Anolis sagrei: one gene and its partners. The protein of the gene in region 3 interacts with the protein of the main gene of each other region in a biochemical or structural test. Links are inferred from orthologs where the notes say so. Each region holds a gene or a part of one and is shown on either strand. Other genes may lie near its edges. The genes, in order: ATRIP, TICRR and TOPBP1.

What was found.
Region 1: the proteins of TOPBP1 (region 3) and ATRIP form a complex in vitro, tested with the Homo sapiens proteins (2 studies listed by BioGRID). The link is inferred for Anolis sagrei from reciprocal best matches to the Homo sapiens genes TOPBP1 and ATRIP.
Region 2: the proteins of TOPBP1 (region 3) and TICRR form a complex in vitro, tested with the Homo sapiens proteins (2 studies listed by BioGRID). The link is inferred for Anolis sagrei from reciprocal best matches to the Homo sapiens genes TOPBP1 and TICRR.

Annotation. Positions count from the first base shown.
Region 1 is NC_090022.1:67,074,826-67,082,618, reverse strand, and holds the start of ATRIP (ATR-interacting protein), read right to left. Parts: upstream 3,086-7,793; 5' UTR 2,976-3,085; intron 988-2,975; 5' UTR 970-987; coding exon 552-969; intron 1-551. UniProt on the Homo sapiens protein: Required for checkpoint signaling after DNA damage. Required for ATR expression, possibly by stabilizing the protein.
Region 2 is NC_090029.1:34,510,021-34,517,841, reverse strand, and holds the start of TICRR (treslin), read left to right. Parts: upstream 1-4,813; 5' UTR 4,814-4,993; intron 4,994-7,821.
Region 3 is NC_090026.1:78,150,932-78,158,965, reverse strand, and holds the start of TOPBP1 (DNA topoisomerase 2-binding protein 1), read right to left. Parts: upstream 3,081-8,034; 5' UTR 2,979-3,080; intron 1,815-2,978; 5' UTR 1,811-1,814; coding exon 1,727-1,810; intron 1-1,726. Other genes in the region: C-C chemokine receptor type 5-like, read right to left, coding at 7,747-8,034. UniProt on the Homo sapiens protein: Scaffold protein that acts as a key protein-protein adapter in DNA replication and DNA repair. Composed of multiple BRCT domains, which specifically recognize and bind phosphorylated proteins, bringing proteins together into functional combinations.

The DNA of each region.
Region 1 (7,793 bases), on a different chromosome or scaffold from region 3:
TAATAAAATAAATTTGGAATGCTTTTGATATGAAATAAATAGTGCTCCAATCCCCACTCTGCCATAGAAACCCAATGGATAATATTGGTGAAGTCGTATTCATTTCAGCCTAAGAGGAAGGCAATAGCAGACATACTCTGACAAAAACTTTGCCAAGAAAACCATATTATAGGGCCTCCTATAAGTTGGAAACCATTGGAAAACACCAAACAGCAAAACAACTAATGATGTTAAGCCCCATCACTCATGATCTCCAAGAAAATTCTCAGGAACCATTTGTATTCCTTGGCCTTATCTTGTTATGTGCTATTTCTTTTATAACAATTGTATTTCATTTTAGCATTTTGTCAGGTGTAATGTCTAATTTATGGTTGTCACGGGCTTTTATTAACCCTAGTGCTTTATTTTAGCATCCGCACTGCCTAAAGAGGGGTTTGTGCCCAAAAGGCAACCTCAACAGGTTTACTATCTTTTAAAGAAAAACAGTAATAACAGTGTAAATCATCAATCCTCATTGCTCCAGACTCCAGTCTCACTGAGAATACACATACCAAATACTTGCTTAGATTTTGTCTCAGTTGCAAAGTTGAAATTCCATTGCTTGATGTGATCTGCTGCATTGGTGGTACTTTTTGACAGTGAAGACAGTTCTCTATTTTGCTCTGCTCTTGATGCATTTGTGTTTACAGAAACGTTTTGTGTCATTGCCTGGGAAGCAATAATATCAATTTCCTCCAAGTCATCTGCAGTGAAATCATCACTGTCCTGAAATGGATCTTCCATTTCTTTATGCCCAGTTGTGGCAAGGGTTTTATAGCGCTTATTGGGTGGAAATCCATCTCCATGGTTTCCAGTGTTACTTGCAGTTCTCTGGAAGGATGAAGTCGAAGCAGTCACTCTGGCCTGATCCACACCGTATAATATAGAGCTGTTTCTCTTCTTATTCCCAAATAAATGGTTCACTGACATTCTGTGTCAGGAATTATCCTAGCAAAAAGAAACCACAAAACAAGGTTAAAGCTGCCTATTTAAAATCAGTTCTGGGACCTCTATTTCCTCAGTACTTTTCAATGTGTTATTAAAGCCAACAGTAATCACCTTTTCAAGGAAATGATCAGGCCTTGCTCACAAATGCTCATGAGTGGGACCTAAACAAACCTACTGGAAGGTCTAATGCAGCGTTTCTCAACCTAGGGGTTGGGAACACTGGAGGGTCACCAGGGGGTGTCAGAGGGGTCACCAAAGACCATAAGAAAACACAGTATTTTCTGTTCGTCATGGGAGTTCTCTGTGGGAAGTTTGGCCCAATTCTCTCGTTGGTGGGATTCAGAATCTCTTTCATTGTAGATGAGCTATAAAGCCCAGCAACTACAACTCCCAAATGTCAAGGTCTATTTTCCCCAAACTCCACCATTTGGGCATATTGAGTATTCGTCCCAAGACTGGTCCAGGTCCATCATTGTTTGAGTCCACAGTGCTCTCTGGATGCAGGTGAACTTGTTGTTCATTCGTTCAGTCGCTTCCGACTCATGCACCAGCCCACGCCAGAGCTCCCTGTCGGCCGTTACCACCCCCAGCTCCTTCAAGGTCAAGCCAGTCACTTCAAGGATGCCATCCATCCATCTTGCCCTTGGTCGGCCCCTCTTCCTTTTGCCTTCCATTTTCTCCAGCATCATTGTCTTCTCTAAGATTTCCTTTCTTCTCATGATGTGGCCAAAGTACTTCAACTTTGTCTCTAATATCCTTCCTTCCAATGAGCAGTCGGGCTTTGTTTCCTGAAATATGGACTGGTTGGATATTCTTGTGGTCCAAGGCACTCTCTGAATTTTCCTCCAGCGCCACAGTTCAAAAGCATCTATCTTCCTTTGCTCAGCCTTACCTATGGCCCAGCTCTCACATCCGTAGGTGACTACAGGGAATACCATTGTTTTAAGTATGTGGATCTTCATTGCCAGTGTGATGTCTCTACTCTTCACTATTTTATCAAGATTGGTCATTGCTCTCCTCCCAAGAAGTAAACGTCTTCTGATTTCTGCAGTAATCTTTGCACCTTGAAATACAAAGTCTGTCACAGCCTCCACGTTTTCTCCCTCTATTTGCCAGTTATCAATCTGTCTGGTTGCCATAATTCTGGTTGAATTTATGTTTAACTGCAATCCAGCTTTTGCACTTTTGAACTACAACTCCAAAACTCAAGGTCAATGCCCATCAAACCCTTCCAGTATTTTCTCTTGGTCGTGGGGGTTCTGTGTGGGAAGTTTGGCCCAATACTCTCGCTGGTGGAGTTCAGAATGCTCTCTGATTGTAGATTAACTATAAATCCCAGGAACTAAAATTCCCAAATGACAAAATCAATCCTGCCCCCTACCTCACCAGTATTCAAATTTGGCCATATTTGTGCCAAATTTGGTCCAGTGAATGAAAATACATCCTGAATATCAGATATGTACATTACGATTCAAAACACTAGCAAAATTACAGTTATGAAGTAGCAACAAAAATAATTTTGTGGTTGGGGGTCACCACAACATGAGGAATTGTATTAAGGGGTCGCGGCATTAGGAAGGTTGAGAACCACTGGTCTAATGATTTGGACAAGCCGCAGGAACAAGGAGAATATCATGCCTGTAAATCAAGATCTGACTTTAGTGATATTTAGTAACAATCTGGATAACCCACAAGAAGAATGACATTTCTGGAAGTTTAGCAGAAGTATCACCACTACAAACCTCTTTAAAACAGACTGATATCCAAATCGTCACAATGGATACACACTTTAGAATTAATCCAGTTTGGCACCACTTCTAACTGCTGTGTCTCCGTGCTATGGGATCATGGGAATTGTAGCTCCACAAGGTCTACAACTCCCATGATTCCATAGGTGTGAGTAATAGCAGCTCAAACGGTGCCAAGTCGCACTCATTCTAGGGTGCAGATGCTCCCCCACGACCTCCCTGCACTCTCTCTGGACTTACCTTGGTTTTCCCGCGTCAGGAGAGGAGGCTCTGCAAGAAGGGCAGCAGCATCTGCCCGGCATCGCTTCCCCGGTCTCTGTCAACCAATAGGAAGCCAGCTCTCTCCCAATGACGTCCCATCCGGTCTATTGGGGGAGGGACGTGCAAAGAAAAGGTGACGCGCGAAATGGAAGGAGCTCACCCATTGGACGGGAGGGATTTCTTTTCCCTGTCTTTAGGATTCGTGACTAAACGCCAAGGATCCTTGCAAGCACAAAGTGTGAGGGGGTAGGGGGGCAGGTGGATGTGTTTTTTAATCTCGCCTCTTCCCACCCACACTATAGAAATAATCTAGTTTGGCATAGACACTGAGAACTGGGAAGCCCTGGCCCTTGAGCGCTCCAGCTGGAGGTCAGCTGTGACCAGCAGTGCTGCAGAATTGGAGGAGGCACAAGTGGAGGGTGAAAGAGTGAAACGTGCCAGGAGGAAGGCGCGTCAAGCCAACCACGACTGGGACCATCTTCCACCTGGAAACCAATGCCTTCACTGTGGGAGAAGATGCGGGTCAAGAATAGGGCTCCACAGCCACCTACGAATCCACAAGGAAACCCATCATAGAAAATCATCTTACTCGTCCAACGAGGGATCGCCTAAGTCAAGTCAATCTAGTTTGGCAGCCACTTTAAATGCCTTGGTTCAATGTTATGAAATCATGGGAGTTGAGTCCAGAACCTCAATCCATGGCTGATGTCAAATGAGAGACTCCCCCCTGGGCACACAGTAGACTGGGCGATTTGGAAGGCGCTGAACAGACTGCGCTCTGGCACCATAGGATGCAGAGCCAACCTTAAGAAATGGGGCCACAAAGTGGAATCCATGGCATGCGGGTGTGAAGAGCAAACCACAGACCACCTACTGCAATGCAACCTAAGCCCTGCCACATGCACAATGGAGGACCTTCTGATAGCAACACCAGAGGCACTCCAAGTGATCAAAGGACATTTAATAGAATGCCAAGTTGGCAAACTTTGTGATTTTTTTAAAAAATCCAATACAACTGTTTGGTTTGCTCCTGACACAATACATAAATAAGATGGGAGTTGTATTTTTCACAAGTGGCTGAGGGGGAAAAGGAAAGGGCCTGAGGATGTTAGTAATGATGGGAGTTGAAGTCCAAAACACCCGGAGGGCCGAAGTTGGCCCATGCCTGGTGTAGATTAGTATCATAAGTATAATGTCATTCGTTTTTTCTGTATTAATATGTACTGAAAGACGTTTGTTTTGTTTTGTCTAAGTCACAGCCACAAATGCATAAGAACAAAATCAGTTATGTGGTCCCTTCTGGAAAACATCTGCTTTTGCATAAATGTGCATAACCTCCCAACCTTTTGTCCTACAGGTTTGTGGATTTCAGCTCCCAGAAACCCCAACCAGCTTGGCCAACTGAAATGCACAAAGAGTGTAATCTTCTGACCACTTCTTTAGGAATATTGAACACATTGGGACTTATTTCTGAACCATGTTCCAAGTACTGCAGAGTTACTTACTCTTCAACCACTCCAACATAGAGATTCTTAATATGTGTTTCACAATGTTTATCTGGAAATTACCCTTTGTGGTTTTACAAAGATAAGAGGATTGCAACTTTGGGTCAGAAGATACGGGGAGGCATGGCAGCGTATTCTTCTACTTGGTGTTGTAAGGTGCCTAACTTAATGACCAAACATGGAGCAGCAGTCAGTCTTGCCTCTTTAGATAAGTTATCTAGCTGAGTTGTGCATTATATTATTCCCTCTGGCTGTTATAAGATTGGGGTGGCAGTACAGGAGAACAAGGATAGGCCTGCTAGTTTTCGCTGGACTACATCATTCTTCATTTTTGGCAATGCAGGTCAATAACATCTAGAGGACCTTTTCTAATGGCTTCTTCAACAGAAATTGAGCTATGTGGTTCAAACATCTTTACACCTTATGTCGACAATATTTAGGACAGAGGTTGCAAAAGTATTACCATGCCCTCTGGTAGTTCTACATTTACAATTCCAGGATCTCTGAGGATACTGTATTCCATAAGCCAACAACACCTTGAGGTTCATTTATATGTGAAGCTATCCAAGCAGGACAAGTATTTTCTACCCCTGTGACCTTCTATGAGCCACATGGGCTGTCAAAGCCAAACTCCCCAATCATGGAAATTATCACAAATATATTTCTAGTTTTGAAAGCGCAACTGTATTGGGCTTCCTGCAATATACAGTATTTAAAAGGTAAACTCCAATTCCTTTTTAAGGATTAATGAATGAATTTTATTACAGACCAAGAGTGTAAAACTTTAAAACATTAAAAACAAGAAGTTTTTTTTAAAAAAAAAAACTGTTAACATTAAGACCCGAAGTTCACAACATTAAAAGAAGAATGTCCATGATATGGAGTCGATCGTGTGCTTGGCTTCATATATGACACTGAGTATCTATATAAATAAAAATGTAATGTTCGTTTGTGGGATTAACATAACTCAAAAACCACTTGACAAATTGACACCAAATTTGGACACAAGACACCTACTAACCCAAGGCGTGATCATCACTCAAAAATTTGAGTTTGTCATTCAGGAGTTGTAGTTGCTGGGATTTATAGTTCACCTACAATCAAAGAGCATTCTGAGCACCAAAGATGGAATTGGACCAACCTTGGCACACAGAACTCCCATGACCACCAGAAAATACTGGAAGGAGTTGTTGAGCATTGGCCTTGAGTTTTGGAGTTGTAGTTCACCTACATCCAGAGAGCACTGTGGACTCAAACAATGATGGTTCTGGACCAAACTTGGCATGAATATTCCATATGCCCCAATATGAACACAGATGGAGTTTGGGGGAAATAGATCTTGACATTTGGGAGTTGTATTTACTGAGATTTATAGTTCACCTACAATCAAAGAGCTTTCTGAACCCCACGAACGATAGAACTGGGGCAAATTTCCCACACAGAACCCCTATGACCAATAGAATATACTTAAGGCAATCCAGTCCAACTCCCTTCACCAGGGCAAGAAAACATAATCAAATACTGTTTACACACAAGCATAAAGAAATTACACATATTAGAAACCAACACTTTCTCATGACTTTATTTTTTAGATCACTAGACTGGGCCACAGCAAGGCATGGCAGGGGATGGCTAGTGGATAATAAAACGAGTAAGTTAAAACTTTACCTGCCAAAATCGTCCACAAACTGCTTCCTTATTTTTATAGCTGACACACAAAACATAGCCACTCTATAAATGATCAATGGATCACTATAAGAAGTTTTAGATAATATTTATTTTTTTTATTTCACATATTTGTATCTTGTCCTTCTCGTGCCCCCCCCCCGGGGGGGGGGGGAGGATTCAGTGCAACTTCCCAACAGGCATCTATTTGATGCCAACATACAAATGATAAATAATAATTACAAATAAAACAGTTCATTAAAACATTAATTATTAAGACATTCATTTAAAATCACACAAGTTCATTTCTGCCAGGGATCTTTTATACAATGGGAGTAATAAAAACAGATAAAGTATCCTAATAGATGTGACATTCTAAAAGGGCATGCCTGGTAGTTTCTACTCTCTCCATACCGCATGGGCATACATGCTTATGGTAGGGGATACCTGTAAACCTTTTTAATGTTTTAATTTAACTTTTAATGCACAACTGCATCGGGCTTCGTGCAATCTACAGTATTTAAAAGCTGAACTGCAATTCTTTTTCAAGGATGGTACAAGAAGTCTGGAGGGCTAAACAGCTAAAAAACAACCTTAAAAGGTGCATCCACTCTTATATCCACACTTACAAGCTGTATCCCAAGGTCATACTTCATCTAACCTGTTATAGACACCATTATGTAGATCTTGCCTTTCTCCTCTGTTATTGCTCATGCAATTTTAATCAAGATCTAAAAGACCTTATAGGTTTCTATGTATATATCTTCACTTTCTTGTCTTTCTCTTGCTGCCTGTTTTTTGTGCAGAAAACTGCTCCTGAGTAAAAATTAATCCTTTACATCAGAGAGTGGCAGATGGGGAGAGGGACAAATGGATGAAAATGAACCAATCAATTTCCTTGCCTGATTGATTGGACATTCCTTCCATTTATACACAGAGTAGTTTGGATCCAAGCTTCTTTATCTACAGCAAATATTCTAAACTATTTACTAGATTTCACAAATTCCCAGGATAATGATAATGCATTCCAATTCTTTCCCAAATCAGATACTTTAATCTAAAGTGCCAGTGACATCGCCCAAAGTACACAATGAATCTAGATACTGATTAATTTCTAAGGGTTGAATTTCTCTTTATACCATTAAGATGAATGAGCAGTATGGCCAATGATCTCATACTGGCCATAATTGTTAAAAGTGACTTTTGTGGGCTCAGAAATCATTTCATTCTTTCAAGAATTGTATGCACTTGCTTGCTGCTGAAAATACTAGCTCTGTCTCATCAGTTAAACTGACACAATGACCCAGTCTGTTTAGAACATCAATACTTTTTCTACTTCCAGTAATGCTATTTTTAGCCATCCCAAGCTGGAGATCCTCTGCAGGCTCCCTTTTTCCATTAGTAACTCAATATAACTGTCATGAGTACATTAATTCAGTTTCCTTTTTTCTGAAAAGAGCAGCAGATAGAAAGATCTGGGTCAAAATTGGCTTGCATTCTATCATACATCTCATAAATAAGTAAGAGAACCTTTAACAAGGAATCTTCCAGATTCTGAATTTCTATCACCCCTCACCACTTGCAACACTAACTAGAATTAACAGAAGTTGCAGTTCAACATCTGGAG
Region 2 (7,821 bases), on a different chromosome or scaffold from region 3:
CCTCCTTTACTGTCTGTGTATATACATATTTTCCTTTCACTTTTACTTCTTCTCTTTTTAATTTATTTCTTCTCCTCTTCCACATATTTGTCTATTAATCTCCAAACCGTTTCCTTCTGTGCTCTTCCTTGTTGTTTTGTCATTAAATACGTCAATCTGTCAAGAGCTAGTTCAAGGTGCCAAAGACTTCTGTTACAAGGAACAGGGGCACCTTTTTTGAAACTGTAATATCTTGATAAAGTGGGCAAACAGTGTCATCTAGTGGCAAGAAAAGAAGAGCTAAATCACTGTTTTTGTGTCAGAAGCGAGTTGCCCAGGGGGCTCCTGGTTGTGTTATCATCCTGTGGGAGGCTTCTCTGCTGGGGCTGACAGGCAAGAGCTCACCCCATCTCGTGGATTTGAATGCCGACCTTCAGGGTTTAACCCAATGTGACATTGTGGCTCCTAAATCATTTGTGAAATGACTGTAAAAACATTTGCATGGTCAAAAAGAAGTGGAATCAGGAGGGCAGTGTTCTTAAAATATACCCCTAATGCAAATTTGTAGTGGTTGGAGGATTAGACTATGATTCTGGGAAACCAGGGCTATAATTTCCACTTGCACATGGGAACCCATTGGGAAAGTCACATTTTCTCAGCTTCACGCAATAACATGTTCTTAAAATGTATACCTAATGCAAATTTGTAGTGGTTGGAGGATTAGACTATGATTCTGGGAAACCAGGGTTATAATTTCCACTTGCACATGGGAACCCATTGGGAAAGTCACATTTTCTCAGCTTCACGCAATAACATCCTGCAGAAACGTACTGGCAACACATGGGGTGCAGACCCAAAATTAGTAAGAACATCAGCCCTGGCCTTGTCTTACTCAACTGCTGAGTATGCCTGCCCTGTTTGGCATAGGTCTGCCCATGCAAAGCAGGTGAGCATAGCATTGAATGAAACATGCAGAATAATCACAGGATGTTTTAAACCCACATCTGTTGATAAACTCTACAACTGTGGTTCTCAACCTGGGGGTTGGGACCCCTGGGGGGGATCACGAGGGGGTGTCAGACCCAAAATTAGTAAGAACATCAGCCCTGGCCTTGTCTTATCCAACTGCTGAGTATTCCTGCCCTGTTTGTCATAAGTCTGCCCATGCAAAGCAGGTGAGCATAGCATTGAATGAAACATGCAGAATAATCACAGGATGTTTTAAGCCCACATCTGTTGATAAACTCTACAACAGTGGTTCTCATCCTGGGGGTCAGGACCCCTGAGGGGGTCACGAGGGGGTGTCAGAGGGGTCGCCAAAGACCATTAGAAAACACAGTATTTTCTGTAGGTCATGGGGGTTCTATGAGGTCCAATTCTATTGTTGGTGGGGGTTCAGAATGCTCTTCGGTTATAGGTGAACTATAAATCCCAGCAAATACAACTCACAAATGTCAAGGTCTATTTCCCCCAAACTCCACCAGTGTTCACATTTGGGCATACTGAGTATTCGTGCCAAGTTTGGACCAGATTCATCATTGTTTGAGTCCACAGTGCTCTCTGAATGTAGGTGAGCTACAACTCCCAAACCCAAGGTCAATGCCCACCACACCCTTCCAGTATTTTCTCTTGATCATGGGAGTTTTGTGTGCCAAGTTTGGTTCAATTCCATTGTTGGTGAAGTTCAGAGTGCTCTTTGATTGTAGGTGAACTATAAATCCCAGCAACTACTACTCCCAAATGAAAAAAATCAATCTCCCCCAACCCCAGCAGTATTCCAATTTGGGCGTATTGGGTATTTGTGCCAAATTTGGTCTAGTGAATGAAAATTCATTCTGTGTATCAGATATTTACATTATGATTCACAACAGTAGCAAAATTACATTTATGAAGTAGCAATGAAAATACTTTTATGGTTGGGGGGTCACCACAACATGAGGACTGTATTAAGGGGTCACGGCATTAGGAAGGTTGAGAAACACTGCTCTACAAGCTAGCTGGCATTGCCCCCCCCCCTCCGAAGTTGCTGCTAAATGTGAGAGAAATAAGGTTGAACACTGTGAAAGCCATCCACTACATGGCTACCAACCTCTTCCCAGTAGACTCAAATCAAGGAAACGCTTTATGAGAACTACCACTCCCCTTGGCATCCGCCTGGCAACAGCAAGGGTATCCCTCTGGGCAGCTACACCAGGAAATCCCAACTGGATGGCCCCCCATGAGAGAGGGTCTTCCTCCAGGGGCAAACCAAGAATGGGCAACCTGGAAGTCCCCGAATAGACTCAGAAGCGGAGTGGGCAGATCAAAAGACAACCTGGCAAAATGGCACGACCTAAAAGAATCCCACACCTTGTGTGACTGTGGAGCAGAACAGACAACTCCGCATCTATATGCTTGTCCATTGTGCCCTGCCTCATGTACAGAGGAGGAACTGTTGGAGGTTACAGACAATGCTGTTGCTGTTGCCCGTTTTTGGTCAAAAGATATTTAGCCACCAGCACACCTTCTATTTTTTTTCCAGTTTTATACTAATTTATAATCTGCTTCTTTTTTATCTTGCCCGAGTTTTTAATTAGTTTTTTATTAGTTTTCTTTTAATCATTACATATAGCCCGCCCATTGTTACTGTGATTGTGCTTATTGCAATTTTATATTGTTATGTATTCACATGTTTTATGTTATTTATTTATTTATTTATTTATTTGGGGTGCTTCTACCCCGCCCTTCTCAACCCCCTGGGGGGGGACTCAGGGTGGCTTGCAAAAGGCACAATTCGATGCCTAATAATTACAACATACAATGGAATATACAATACACAAATTTACCATATAATATCACAGTTATCACTAATTAAAACAATCAACAATATACTAGCAGCAATAAAAACATCTTGTGGTCAGTGTTCACCAAATCCAGTCCGTAAACCATTTAGCATTGTCATTATGATGTTGTTGTTTATTGTTTGCATTTTCAGTTTGCCTTTTCAGTTTTACTCTGTTGTAATTTGTTGTTTGGGCTTGGCCTCATGTAAGCCGCTCCGAGTCTCCATCAGATGGTGGCGGGGTATAAATAAAGATGATAATGATGATGATGATTATCCAGGTTGGTTCCTCAGGTGCTCTGCTATGGCTGACTTCTCTGGTTGAAGTAGTCTGCAGTGCCTTTCATGTTCCTTGATGCGTGTTTGGGCAAGGCTGCTGCGTTTGGTGGTCCCTATGTAGACTTCTTGTCCACAGCTGCATGGTATGCAGCGCCCAAACACGAATCAAGGAACATGAAAGGCACTGCAGACTACTTCAACCAGAGAAATCAGCCATAGCAGAACACCTGCTTGAAGACCTGGATGTTTGTGCAGGCGTTTGAGTAATTCAGTGCAATTCTGGTAATTTGAACATAAGAACGGAACAATGGACGATGAATTTGGATCACGCTTGGATGATGAGGCAATTGTGATAACTGTGTTTTGATGATGGTTATTAGCTAGTAATGGAAATGTGTAATTTAACTGTTTTGCATATTAATTATTGCTGTTTTTATTGTTCTTGCTGTTTGCTGTCTGGAAACTGCTGTGAGTCGCCCTCGGGCTTGAGATACAGCGGTATACAAGAATAGTAAGTAAATAAATAAATAAATAAATGAACCAACCTGGACGCAGCATATTATTTGAGAACACAGAAATGCTGGACCACTCTCACAACCACCATGTCAGGCTACACAGAGAAGCCATTGAAAAGGAGGAAATCATGAAAATGAACAAAATCTGGCTACCAGTATTAAAAAACTCTAAAATTACAACAGCACAACAAGAGAGAGGAAACAAACAAGGACATCTAATCACCTCTCAACAAAAGATTGCACCAGGCACTGTCAGGCCATCTCTGACTCTGAGGATGCTTGCCATAGATGCAGGCGAAACGTCAGGAGAGAATGCCTCTAGAACATGGCCATATAGCCCGGAAAAACATACACCTAATCACCTCTCAACGAAAGATTGCCCCAGGCACTGCCAGGACATCCAATGCTAATCAAGGTGGTCAGTTGAAACATTCACACCTAGCTTCAGCAGAGAAGAGCTCTGTGCCCCACCTCAGTCATTCCACAGATATATAAACCCATTTTCCTAGTTCCAACAGACCTCACTACCTCTGAGGATGCTTGCCATAGATGCGGGCGAAACGTCAGGAGAGAATGCCTCTAGAACATGGCCATATAGCCCGGAAAAACATACACCTAATCACCTCTCAACGAAAGATTGCCCCAGGCACTGCCAGGACATCCAATGCTAATCAAGGTGGTCAGTTGAAACATTCACACCTAGCTCCAACAGACAGTCCTTTGTCCCACCCTGGTCATTCCACAGATATATAAACCCCCTTTTCCTATTTCCAACAGACCCCACAACCTCTGAGGATGCTTGCCATAGATGCAGGCGAAACGTCAGGAGAGAATGCCTCTAGAGCATGGCCCTATAGCCCGAAAAAACCCACAAGAACCTAATAACTGCATTAGTTGGTTCCTTTCCCCTAGGCCAAGGTTTCCAGAGCATTGGGGAAAGGTGCCTTTTGGGGTTGTCCTGGGCTGGGCCCTTCTCCAAGCCCAAAAGGACAGCCCAGGAAGGCGAAGTTCCTGCCTCTGCAATACAGCCTTTCAGTAGCACGGCGCGCATGCGTACAAACTGATATCCCCTTCGAAAAACCTGACAGGAGTAGTGGGTGGGATTTTGACATGATCTCGCGAGAGTAGGGAGGAGCCGAAGACGAGGTCTTAGCCAATGAGAGAGCGGCGTCGGAGTGAGCGCCGTCCAATGAGGAAGCGGAGCGCCGAGCGCGCCAGCAATTGGATTGAGAGCGACGTCGGGGAATGATAATGGCGAGAGGCTTCTTGTGGTGGTGAGGCCTAGCCCTGAGCGCCGTGCCGGGATGCCATGGCTGCCCGAGGAGGACGGAGACTGGCTCATAATCAGCCAAGAACTAACTAACTAACGAGAAGCAGGCCAGCTTCCTGAAGAGGAATGGTGAGTGCGGGGCTTTGAGGGATTGAGGAGTCTTAGGCCTCTTCTACTTCCATATACAATAATCTACTTTGAACTGGATTATATGGCAGTGTAGACTCATATAATCCAGTTCAAAACAGATTTATTTATTAGGTTCTTGTGGGTTTTTTCAGGCTGTATGGCCATGTTCTAGAGACATTCTCTCCTGACGTTTCGCCTGCATCTATGGCAAGCAAGCATCCTCAGAGGTAGTGAGGTCTGTTGGAACTAGGAAAAGGGGTTTATATATCTGTGGAATGGCTGGGGTTGGGCAAGGAGCTCTTCTCTGCTGGAGCTAGGCGTGAATGTTTCACCTGACCACCTTCATTAGCATTTGAAGGCCTGGCTGAGCCTGGGAAAATCCCCTGTTGAGAGGTGTTAAGATGTGCCTGGCTGTTTCCTTCCTGTTGTTGTGCTGTTGTAATTTTAGAGTTTTTTTTTAATACTGGTAGCCAGATTTTGTTCATCTTCATGGTTTCCTCCTTTCTGTTGATATTGTCCACATGCTTCATGTGGATTTCAATGGCTTCTCTGTGTATTCTGACATGGTGGTTGTGAGCGTGGTCCAGCATTTCTGTGTTCTCAAATAATCTGCTGTGTCCAAGCTGGTTCATCAGGTGCTCTGCTATGGCTGACTTCTCTGGTTGAAGTGGTCTGCAGTGCCTTTCATGTTTCTTGATTTGTGTTTGAGCAATGCTGCGTTTGGTGGTGCATTTGGTGAGACAAGAAGCTGATGAGGAAACACAACATACAAACAATCTCCAGACCCACCAAGAAAATCCAACACGTTTCATTCAGCAAAGGACAAGAAGGATCCTCTCACCTCTGCAGGAGTCTACCGTGTACCATGCAGCTGTGGACAAGTCTACATAGGGACCACCAAACGCAGCATTGCACAAACACGAATCAAGGAACATGAAAGGCACTGCAGACTCCTTCAACCAGAGAAGTCAGCCATGGCAGAACACCTGAGGAACCAGCCTGGACACAGCAGATTATTTGAGAACACAGAAATGCTGGACCACACCAACAACCACCACGTCAGACTACACAGAGAAGCCATTGAAATCCACAATTAGCTGGACCAACCAGCCAAGAATCAGGAAAATCGCATTCAAACCACCCCTGACAGATGGCCATCCAGCCTCTGTTTAAAAGCCTCCAAAGAAAGAGCCTCCACCACACCTCGCGGCAGAGAGTTTCCCTGCTGAACAGCTCTGACAGTCAGGAAGTTCTTCCTCATGTTCAGATGGAACATCTTCCTCATCTTCAGGTGGATTATCTGCTTTGATAGCCTGGATTATATGGCAATGTAGAAGGGGCCTTAGTTTTTATTTTATTTAATTAAAACATTTATACCCTGTCCTTCTCGACCTCTGCGGAAGGACTCAGAATGGCTTCCAAACAGGCAACAATTCAATGCCAGACATAATATAAAACACATAATAAATATATCCACAAAATTAAAACCACCAAAATTAAAATCGTCATCCAAAGCAGTCCAAGTCCGGTCCAATAAATCTTGTCTTTCCCAGTAAACAAACTGTTCTGTGAACGCTTGATCCTATAACCAGGATTTAAGTTCCTTCTGAAAGGTCAGGAGGAAGGGGCCAGATCTGACCTCATTGGAAAGGGAGTTCCACAGCTGGCGGGGCCACTACGGAGAAGGCCCTGTCTCTTGTCCCCCACCAAACATGACTGCGATGGCGAGAGCAGGGCCTCCCCGGATGATCTTAAGTTCCTAGACGGTATGTAGGGGGAGATACGTTCGGACAGATAAACTGGGCCGGAACTATTTAAGGTTTTAGTAGACCTCAAACTGAGCATAAAGCAGCAGTGTGGTGTGGCAGCTAAAAAGGCCAATGCGATTCTAGGCTCCCATCAAGAGGAGGACTGTATCTAGATCAGGCCTGGGCCAATTGTGGCCCTCCCTCCAGATGTTTTGGACTTCAACTCCCACAATTCCTAACAGCCTCGGGCAGTGTTTCTCAACCTGGGGGTCGGGACCCCTGAGGGGGTCACGAAGGGGTGTCAGAGGGGTCGCCAAAGACCATCAGAAAATACAGTATTTTCTGATGGTCATGGGGATTCCATGTGGGACATCTGAGCCAATTCTATCATTGGCGGAGTTCAGAATGTTCTTTGATTGTAGTGAACTATAAATCCCAGCAACTACAATTTCCAAAAGTCAAGGTCTATTTTCCCCAGACTCCACCATTGTTCACATTTGCACATATTGAGTATTTGTGCCACGTTTGGTCCAGATCCACCATTGTGTGAGTCCACAGTGCTCTCTGGATGTAGGTGAACTACAACTCCCAAACTCAAGGTCAATGCCCACCAAACCCTTCCAGTGTTTTCCGTTGGTCATGGGAGTTCTGTGTGGCACATTAGGTTCAAAACCATCGCTGTTGGCGTTCAGAATGCTCTTTGATTATAGGTGAACTATAAATCCCGGCAACTACAACTCCCAAATTATAAAATCAGTCCTCCCCCAACCCCACTAGCATTTACGTGTGGGTGCATTGGGTATTTGTGACCAGTTTGGTCCAGTGAAAATACATCTTGCATATCTGATATTTACATTATGATTTATAACAGTACTAGGATGACTGTTATGAAGTAGCAACGGAAATAATGTTATGGTTGGGGGTCACCACAACATGAGGAACTGTACTAAGGGGTCGCGGCATTAGGAAGGTGGAGAACCACTGACCTAGAGGGCTGAAGTTTACCACAGCCTGCACTATCACCTTATAACCTTAAATTCCCTTAGCATTTAAACCTCCCATATAATCACAATGTTATGT
Region 3 (8,034 bases):
CTTTCGCTGATTATTTGTGCCTCTTTCAAATCCATAGCACTGGTGCTAACAGCTGATCTCCAGTTAGAATGCTTGAGGGCAGGAATGCCTAGTTCTCAGTGTTTATTCCACATTTTAGATGAGCTTTAAACCCATCTTTAAATCTCTTTTGCTGTCCACCAACATTCTGTTTTTCACTCTTGAGCTGAGAGTAAAGTAATTGCTTTGAGAGATAGTGATTGGGCATTCAGACAATATGGCCAGCCTAGCAAAATTAATGGTTGATGATCATCACTTCAATGAGCCCCCTGTGGCGCAGTGGGTTAAACCCCTGTGCCGGCAGGACTGAAGACTGACAGGTCGCAGGTTCAAATCCGGGGAGAGGCGGATGAGCTCCCTCTATCAACTCCAGCTCCTCATGCGGGGACATGAGAGAAGCCTCCCACAAGGATGATAAAAACATCAAATCATCCGGGCATCCCCTGGGCAACGTCCTTGCAGACGGCCAATTCTCTCACACCAGAAATGACTTGCAGTTTCTCAAGTCGCTCCTGACAAGACAAAAAAGAAATCACTTCAATGCTGATGGTAAGGAATATGTTTGCTCTGCTGCCAGACTGCTCAAATTAAATGTTTACATATCTCCACCACTGTCATTTAAATTGCTCTCATTTACATTGCTGTACTCCATTCCTTGAATCTAAAATTAGGCACATTTTCTCCTTCAATGGCTGCGCCTACAACACCCTTCCATGCAGTCAATTTATGAAGCCCCCAGCTTCACAAGTCTTTGGATATTTTAGGACCACTTCTGCTCCCCAGATCTCAATGCTGGGAATCAACAACTCCTCCATTTCATTTGTGCACAAGCAGATGAAAAATGGGTGATACAAGGAAAGAGAGAGCCACACAATCCACGGAAGTCATAAGTACCAAGACCATAAATCTTGGCCCATCGTTGGCTCTAGCCTGCCTACTACTGACAGTTGGCCTCAATTGACTTTTCCAGCACTTCTGAGGGAAAAGGTTAAGAATGGAAGAAAAGCCATATTAGATAAGAGCAATGATGGATCAGAGCCAAGTATTTATCTAGTCTATCATTCTGTTCATGCAATGACTAATCAAACTGCCCACAGAAGGCAGCAAACAGGACATAAATCAAAATGCACCCATATGTTTATGCTCCTCAGCTACTGATATACTGAGGTATACTGTTGTTGGTGCTAGAATGTATAGCTATCCTCATTAGTAATGTAGTTAAAAGTTTAACTATACATTGTGAGATGAAGTACTTTCTTTTAAGTTCCCAAACCACTCACACACAGTGGACATTGGACATTTTATTTACAGACATTTTATTGGACATTTTATTTACTGCCTAATGTCCTAGTCCCCACATAGAATATTATTATTTTTAAAATAGCAGGTGCACCCTGGGCTATTTTCATTAAATTATCACAATCCTATATGACACAGGAGTATATAGGTTTTGGCTGAACTAAAATGCCAATACCTCCCATTGCTCGCTTTGCACCCATCCTACAGCATGAGAGAAGCTAAGAAAGAGGAAGGAGACAGGGAGAACTTTTCTGCATTCATTTTGGAAAATCTGCTGAAAGCCACAATATTTTTGCCTTCTGTAAGATAAAAACTTCAACAGGAAAAGTCATCAGGCATTTTTGCTGCATCCAAACATGGCTCAGTCTTATTTTCAGAGAGCGCCTCACATATGTAAAAATTATCTTACTTCAAGGGCCTGAAGGAAAAAATCTGAGTTCTCTGGAGACTTGATGAACTTCACAAGATATGGTTCCTTGTTATTTTTCATCATTTAACTAATGAGGAAAGAAGAAAGAGAAGATGTAACATTATATAGGCAAAGGAAACATTAACAAAAAGCCTATTTGTGTATTTATTTATTTACTATATTTGTATACTGCCCCTCTCAGCCCAAAGATGACTCGAGGAGGTTTACTTTTGGCAATCAATGCCCCACAAGATAAAATACATTCAAAAACAATTACATATAAAATAGCCATGTAAAAACAATAAACAATTAACACCATAAAATACAATTCTCAGCGTCTCATTAAAATCATTTTCCGTCACATCGTCTTGTCATTCCATGAGTATCAATCAAAGAGTTATACTGCGTCTGCAAATGCCTGCTCGAATAGGCAGGTTTTCTCTTTTTCGAAATGTCAGGAGGGAGAGGGCCAATCTAATATCCCTAGGAAGGGTGTTCCATAGCCGAGGAGCCACCGCTGAGAAGGCCCTGTCTCTTGTTCCCGCCAACTGGATCTGTGAGGAAGGCGGGACCAAGAGCAGGGCCTCTTCAGAAGATCAACTACAACTCCCAAATTACAAAATCAATCCTCGCCCAACCCCACTAGCATTCACATTTGGGTGTATTGGGTATTTGTGCCCAGTTTGGTCCAGTGAATGAAAATGCATCCTGCATATCAGATATTTACATTATGATTTGTAACAGTAGTAAAATGACTGTTATGAAGTAGCAATGAAAACAATATTATGGTTGGGGGTCACCACAACATGGGGGACTGTATTAAGGGGTCACGCCATTAGGAAGGTTGAGAACCACTGATCTAAGGGAAAATGAAACTAAAATAACTATCTCAGGCTATTAAATAGGAACAAATTTTGTGGAGCTCAGCTGTCAGTTTCATAAGAAATGTACAGCTATAAATGTTATGGCTTAAGCAGCTGAGGGGGAAAAGGGAAGGGGCCTGAGGCTGTTAGGAATGCTGGGAGTTGAAGTCCAAAACACCCAGAGGGCCAAAGTTTGCCCAGGCCTATTTAGATGGATTAGGAATCAGCTGGTTTTCCTGTAATAGGTAAAAGTTGGAGGTCTTCCTGGCTGAGGCCCCTGAGGAGCTGTAGTATTTCTCAGGCGGAGGAGGCCCCTCTCATTTCTGGGCCCAAAGAGAGAGAGAGAGCGAGGAAGGATACAGGTTCCCCTTGCCTTCCTCCGGGATTACCTCAGCAGCACGTCCTCGGCCTGAGGAAGCGACCCCCTCTCCCCTTCTCACCAACAACTCTCTTCTTCCAAAGGCTGGCGGGAAAAGACTCCTGGACGGAGGGCGCATGCGCCAGGGACGGCTCGTGACGTCGCCGGCCTACAAACATGGCAAAGTTTCCCTTAAAGGGGCAAGGTACGGAAAGGCAGAGGCGATTGGTTGAGAAGGATAGTAAGCGTGGCCCCTTTAAATATTGTTTGTGGGCGAAGGGATAGGGTGGTTTTGTTGTTTGAGTTTTCTTCCGGCGCTTGTGCGACCACCGGTATTGTGAAAAGTAGCTTGCCAAAGAGAGGGTGTCGCTTCCTTTGGGGAAGTTTCAGAGAGGAAATCCTGGTGCTATCAACACTGCCAAACAGTGCAGTGTGAAACCGCGTTGGATGGTCAGTGTAGACTCATATAATGTAGTGAAAGGACCAAGGCAGAGACATCTCCAGCTCATCCCCTGTTTGAGTATCAGCCAGCACGTCAACGACTTAAATCTAGACATAGTTTTCTAAGATCTACAGCAGTGGTTTTCAACCTGTGGGTCCCCAGATGTTTTGGCCTTCAACTCCCAGAGATCCTAACAACTGGTAAACTGACTGAGATTTCTGGGAGTTGTAGGCCAAAACACCTGGGGACCCACAGGTTGAGAACCACTGAAGAAACACTTGCTGGAACACCTCAGTAAGCAAGAGTCCAAAAGTGGCAGGCTCAAACCCAGAACCTCAATCAATGGCTGATACCAAATGAGAGACTCCCCCCTGGGCACACAGAGGACTGGGCGACTTGGAAGGGGCTGAACAGACTACACTCTGGCACCACAAGATGCAGAGCCAACCTCAAGAAATGGGGCCACAAAGTGGAATCCACGACATGCGAGTGTGGAGAAGAGCAAACCACTGACCACCTGCTGCAATGCACCCTGAGCCCTGCCACATGCACAATGGATGACCTCCTTGCAGCAACACCAGAAGCACTCCAAGTGGCCAGATACTGGTCAAAGGACATTTAATCAACTACCAAACTCACAAATTTTGTATTTTGCCTGTTTGTTTGCTTTGTTCTGTTAGAAATGTAATATAATTGACTGGTTGCCCTGACATGACAAATAAATAAATGTAGTTTAATATAGATTCACCTTGTCTCCTGTGCTATGTTAATAATATAATATAATATAAAATAATATATCGTATATATACATATAATATCTATAATATTATAATGTAATGCAATATAACACTACTAATAATATGATATTATAAATATATATTTGTATTACATGTAATATTAATAATAATGTTACAATGTAATGGTTTAATACAATATAGTAATAATTAATACTGATATTGTACTATGCTAATAAAATAGATTTTATGCTTGTGGGTAAACAGCACTTCTTGCTGTTTCTTTGTCAGTGTTGATGTGGAGAGTGTCTGGTTTGCCCACTCTGGAACATGCAAAATATCATTGTCCTTCTTTAAGGGTCCCTTTCAAATCTAGGATACTATATATCTCTCTGTGTGTGAATCATATAAAAAGGTAAAGGTAGTCCCCTGCCATTAAGTCCAGTCATGTCTGACTCTGGGGTGTGGTGCTCATCTCCATTTCTAAGCTGAAGAGCCGGCATTGTCCATAGACACCTCCAAGGTCATGTGGCCGGCATGACTGCATGGAGCGCCGTTACCTTCCCGCCGGAGTGGTACCTATTGATCTACTCACATTTGCATGTTTTTGAACTGCTAGGTTGGCAGAAGCTAGGGCTGACAGCGGAAGCTCACGCCGCTCCCCGGAATCGAACCTGCGACCTTTCGATCAACAAGCTCAGCAGCTCAGTGCTTTAACCCACTGCGCAACCGGGGGCTCCGTGAATCATATATATCTATCTATATCTATGGCTGGATGGCTCTTTGTCAGGAGGGCTTTGATTATGTTTTCTTGCCCTGGTGAAGGGAGTTGGACTGGATGGCCATAAGTATTTTCTGTTGCTCATGGAGGTTCTGTGTGGGAGGTTTGGCCCAATTCTGTCCTTGGTGGGCTTCAGCATGCTCTTTGATTGTAGGTGAACTATAAATCCCAGTAACTACAACTCCCAAATGTCAGGGTTTATTTCCCCCAAACTCCATCTGTGTTCGTATTTGGTCATATGGAATATCCGTGCCAAGTTTGGTCCAGATCCATCCTTGTTTGAGCCCAAAGTGCTCTCTGGATGTAGGTGAACTACAACTCCCAAACTCAAGGGCAATGCCCACCAAACCCTTCTAGTGTTTTCTGTTGGTCATGGGAGTCCCGTGCATCATGTTTGGTTCAATTCCATCATAGGTGGAATTCAGAATACTCTTTGATTGTAGGTGAACTATAAATCCCAGCAACTACAACTCCCAAAAGACAAAATCAAAAAATATTTGAGTGAAGGACATACATTGGGTTGTTAGGTATATGTTGTCCAAATTTGGTGTCAATTCGTCCAGTGGTTTTTGAATTATGTTAATCCCACAAACGAACATTACATTTTTATTTGTATAGATTCCCAACTCTAAACCACTTATCACACAGAGGTTCCTGATACCCGTGCAATCTGGCATACTTAATCTCCTCTATAGAATCTATTCAATGACCAGTTTCATCAAATCTATGAAGCAAAAATCGTATAGCACTTAAATTTCCTAACAGGAAAACTAGAAAGTGAGTTAATGCTGTTTTTGTTCTCCCTCCTTTCACAAATCCAGTCTGCAATATAGTTCCTGTTTGTTCTGTAGAGGGAACAATTTTTGAAATAGCTATGAGATGCAAAACCAAATTTGTGGGGAAAGTTTCTCTTCCGAAATATCAGGTCTCTATTTGATTTTCATCTGTGCGCATTCGATGTAATTTTCCAAATCCCCACCAGAAGCTGATAGAGAACAAATGAATGTTCCGAGTTGCTTTCATAGTTGGTAGGTGATCTATTCAGCTCCCGACACTTCATCACATTCAGGAGGAGTTATATAACTCTTACCATTCAGTCATAAATATTCAGAGATGCAGGCTTCATTAGAAGATAGACAAACATTAAACCAGGGGACCTCAAACTAAGGCCCGGGGGCCGGATACGGCCCTCAAAGGTCATTTACCCGGCCCTCACTCAGGGTCAACCTAAGTATGAAATGACTTGAAAGCACACAACAACAACAAAAGCAGACCCACACTTCCCATTGAAATAATAAGTTTATATTTGTTGTTAAAAATTGTTCTTCATTTTAATTATTGTATTGTTTTAAAGTGGGTTTTTTTTTTCCTCAGAAGAAATAAGATATGTGCAGTGTGCATAGGAATTCATTCATGTTTTTTTTTTCAAATTATAATCTGGACCTCTAACAGTTTGAGGACCCCTGCATTAAACAATTGCTCTTGACCAGTGGTTCCCAACCTTTTTTGTTTTGTTTTGTTTTGTTTTGTTTTGTTTTTAGCAGGGACCACTTTGACCAGGGACAAGACTCCAACATTATTACCAAAAGGGTTACAAATCAGTTTTTGGCCAACTTTAGATTCAGTTTGTTTATTTGGGATGCCGATTTAGAAAATTGCATTGGATAGACCACATGCATTGGATAGACTGCATGACTCCATGCAGTCATGCTGGCCACATGACCTTGGAGGTGTCTACGGACAACGCTGGCTCTTCGGCTTAGAAATGGAGATGAGCACCACACCCCAGAGTCAGACATGACTGGACTTAATGTCAGGGGACTACCTTTACCTTTACCTTAGACCACATCAGGTTTAGTTTCTGATACAATGCACGAGCTATTTAGTAGTCGCCATCTGCTCGCCCACAGAAAACCATATTTAAAAATCTAGAGCTGATGTGGTAGAAGTAATCTTTTATGGGTCGTCAGCCTCTTCCCTCCAGACATACCCATTGCCTCGATACTATAAGGTTTTGCGAGACCAGTCGCTCTCATTCCTGCGTGGTTTTGAGGCAACGGTGTAGTAATTGTGAGGTTGTGGACCATATTTTCGTTCTTGCAGACCAGTGGTGGTCCATGAACCACAGGTTGGGAAACACTGTTCTAGACTGACTTCTGATTTAGTTTCTGGTTCCTAAAAAAACAGGATCCCGGTTCTTCCTTCATTACTCAGATCTACCCAATATCCCCAAATTGTGCATTCAGTGGCATTTTCTGTCTTACCACTTAAGGAGAGACAAGACTGTACTTCATATGTACCAGCTGCAGAACAGGTTTTTGTCCTGTCTCCATGAACTGGCATTTTCATATTAATAGAATATTTTTGTTCTAGGATCCTCTTTTAAAAAATAAGTTAGGAAAACTTTGAAATTAATCTTAAATAATTTTTAAAATCCAATTTTAAATGTAAACATCCAAATCCCTTTTAAAACATCATTGGCTTTTTAATCAACTCTGATTCATATGAGATCAGGTTCAGCCCATATTTATCTTGTCTTAAAACATACATGCCCAAGCATTTCAGAGATTATATAATGTATATGACTTGCTTAAATGAAGACTTAATTTTACTGCTGTTTTTCCAGAAACTCTGATAATATAATGTCTATAGTCCCACTGCACCTGAGATTTGTTTATGGTAAACCTTGTCAGATGATAGAAACCAAGGTCCATTAGATCCAGGTGTTCTCCAAAATTAAAGCTGCATTGTTATAAAGGCTCAACTGTTTATAGTCCGAGCCCTACACATAGTGAGAGATGAAAAACTGTATTAGTCAGGTTGAGTTCTCTTTGAACATCCTTTACAACACAGCTGAAAGGTCTTGCTCTCCAGTGGAATGGGAATATGTAGAACTCGCACGTTCCAGAGGCTCTGTATACAAAAAACGGCAGTGTTTTGACAGAGGAAAAGCAATGTGCTTCTGGAAAAATATACATGTATATTTTCTAAACTTCTCACCAGCAAAAGCGTAGATCACAGGGTTAATGCAACAATGGGCCATTGCTAATATTTCGGTCACTTGTAACGCAATCCCCAAATTACTATAGTCATAACAGTTGTCAAGACGAAATGATGTTTGGAACGTCTG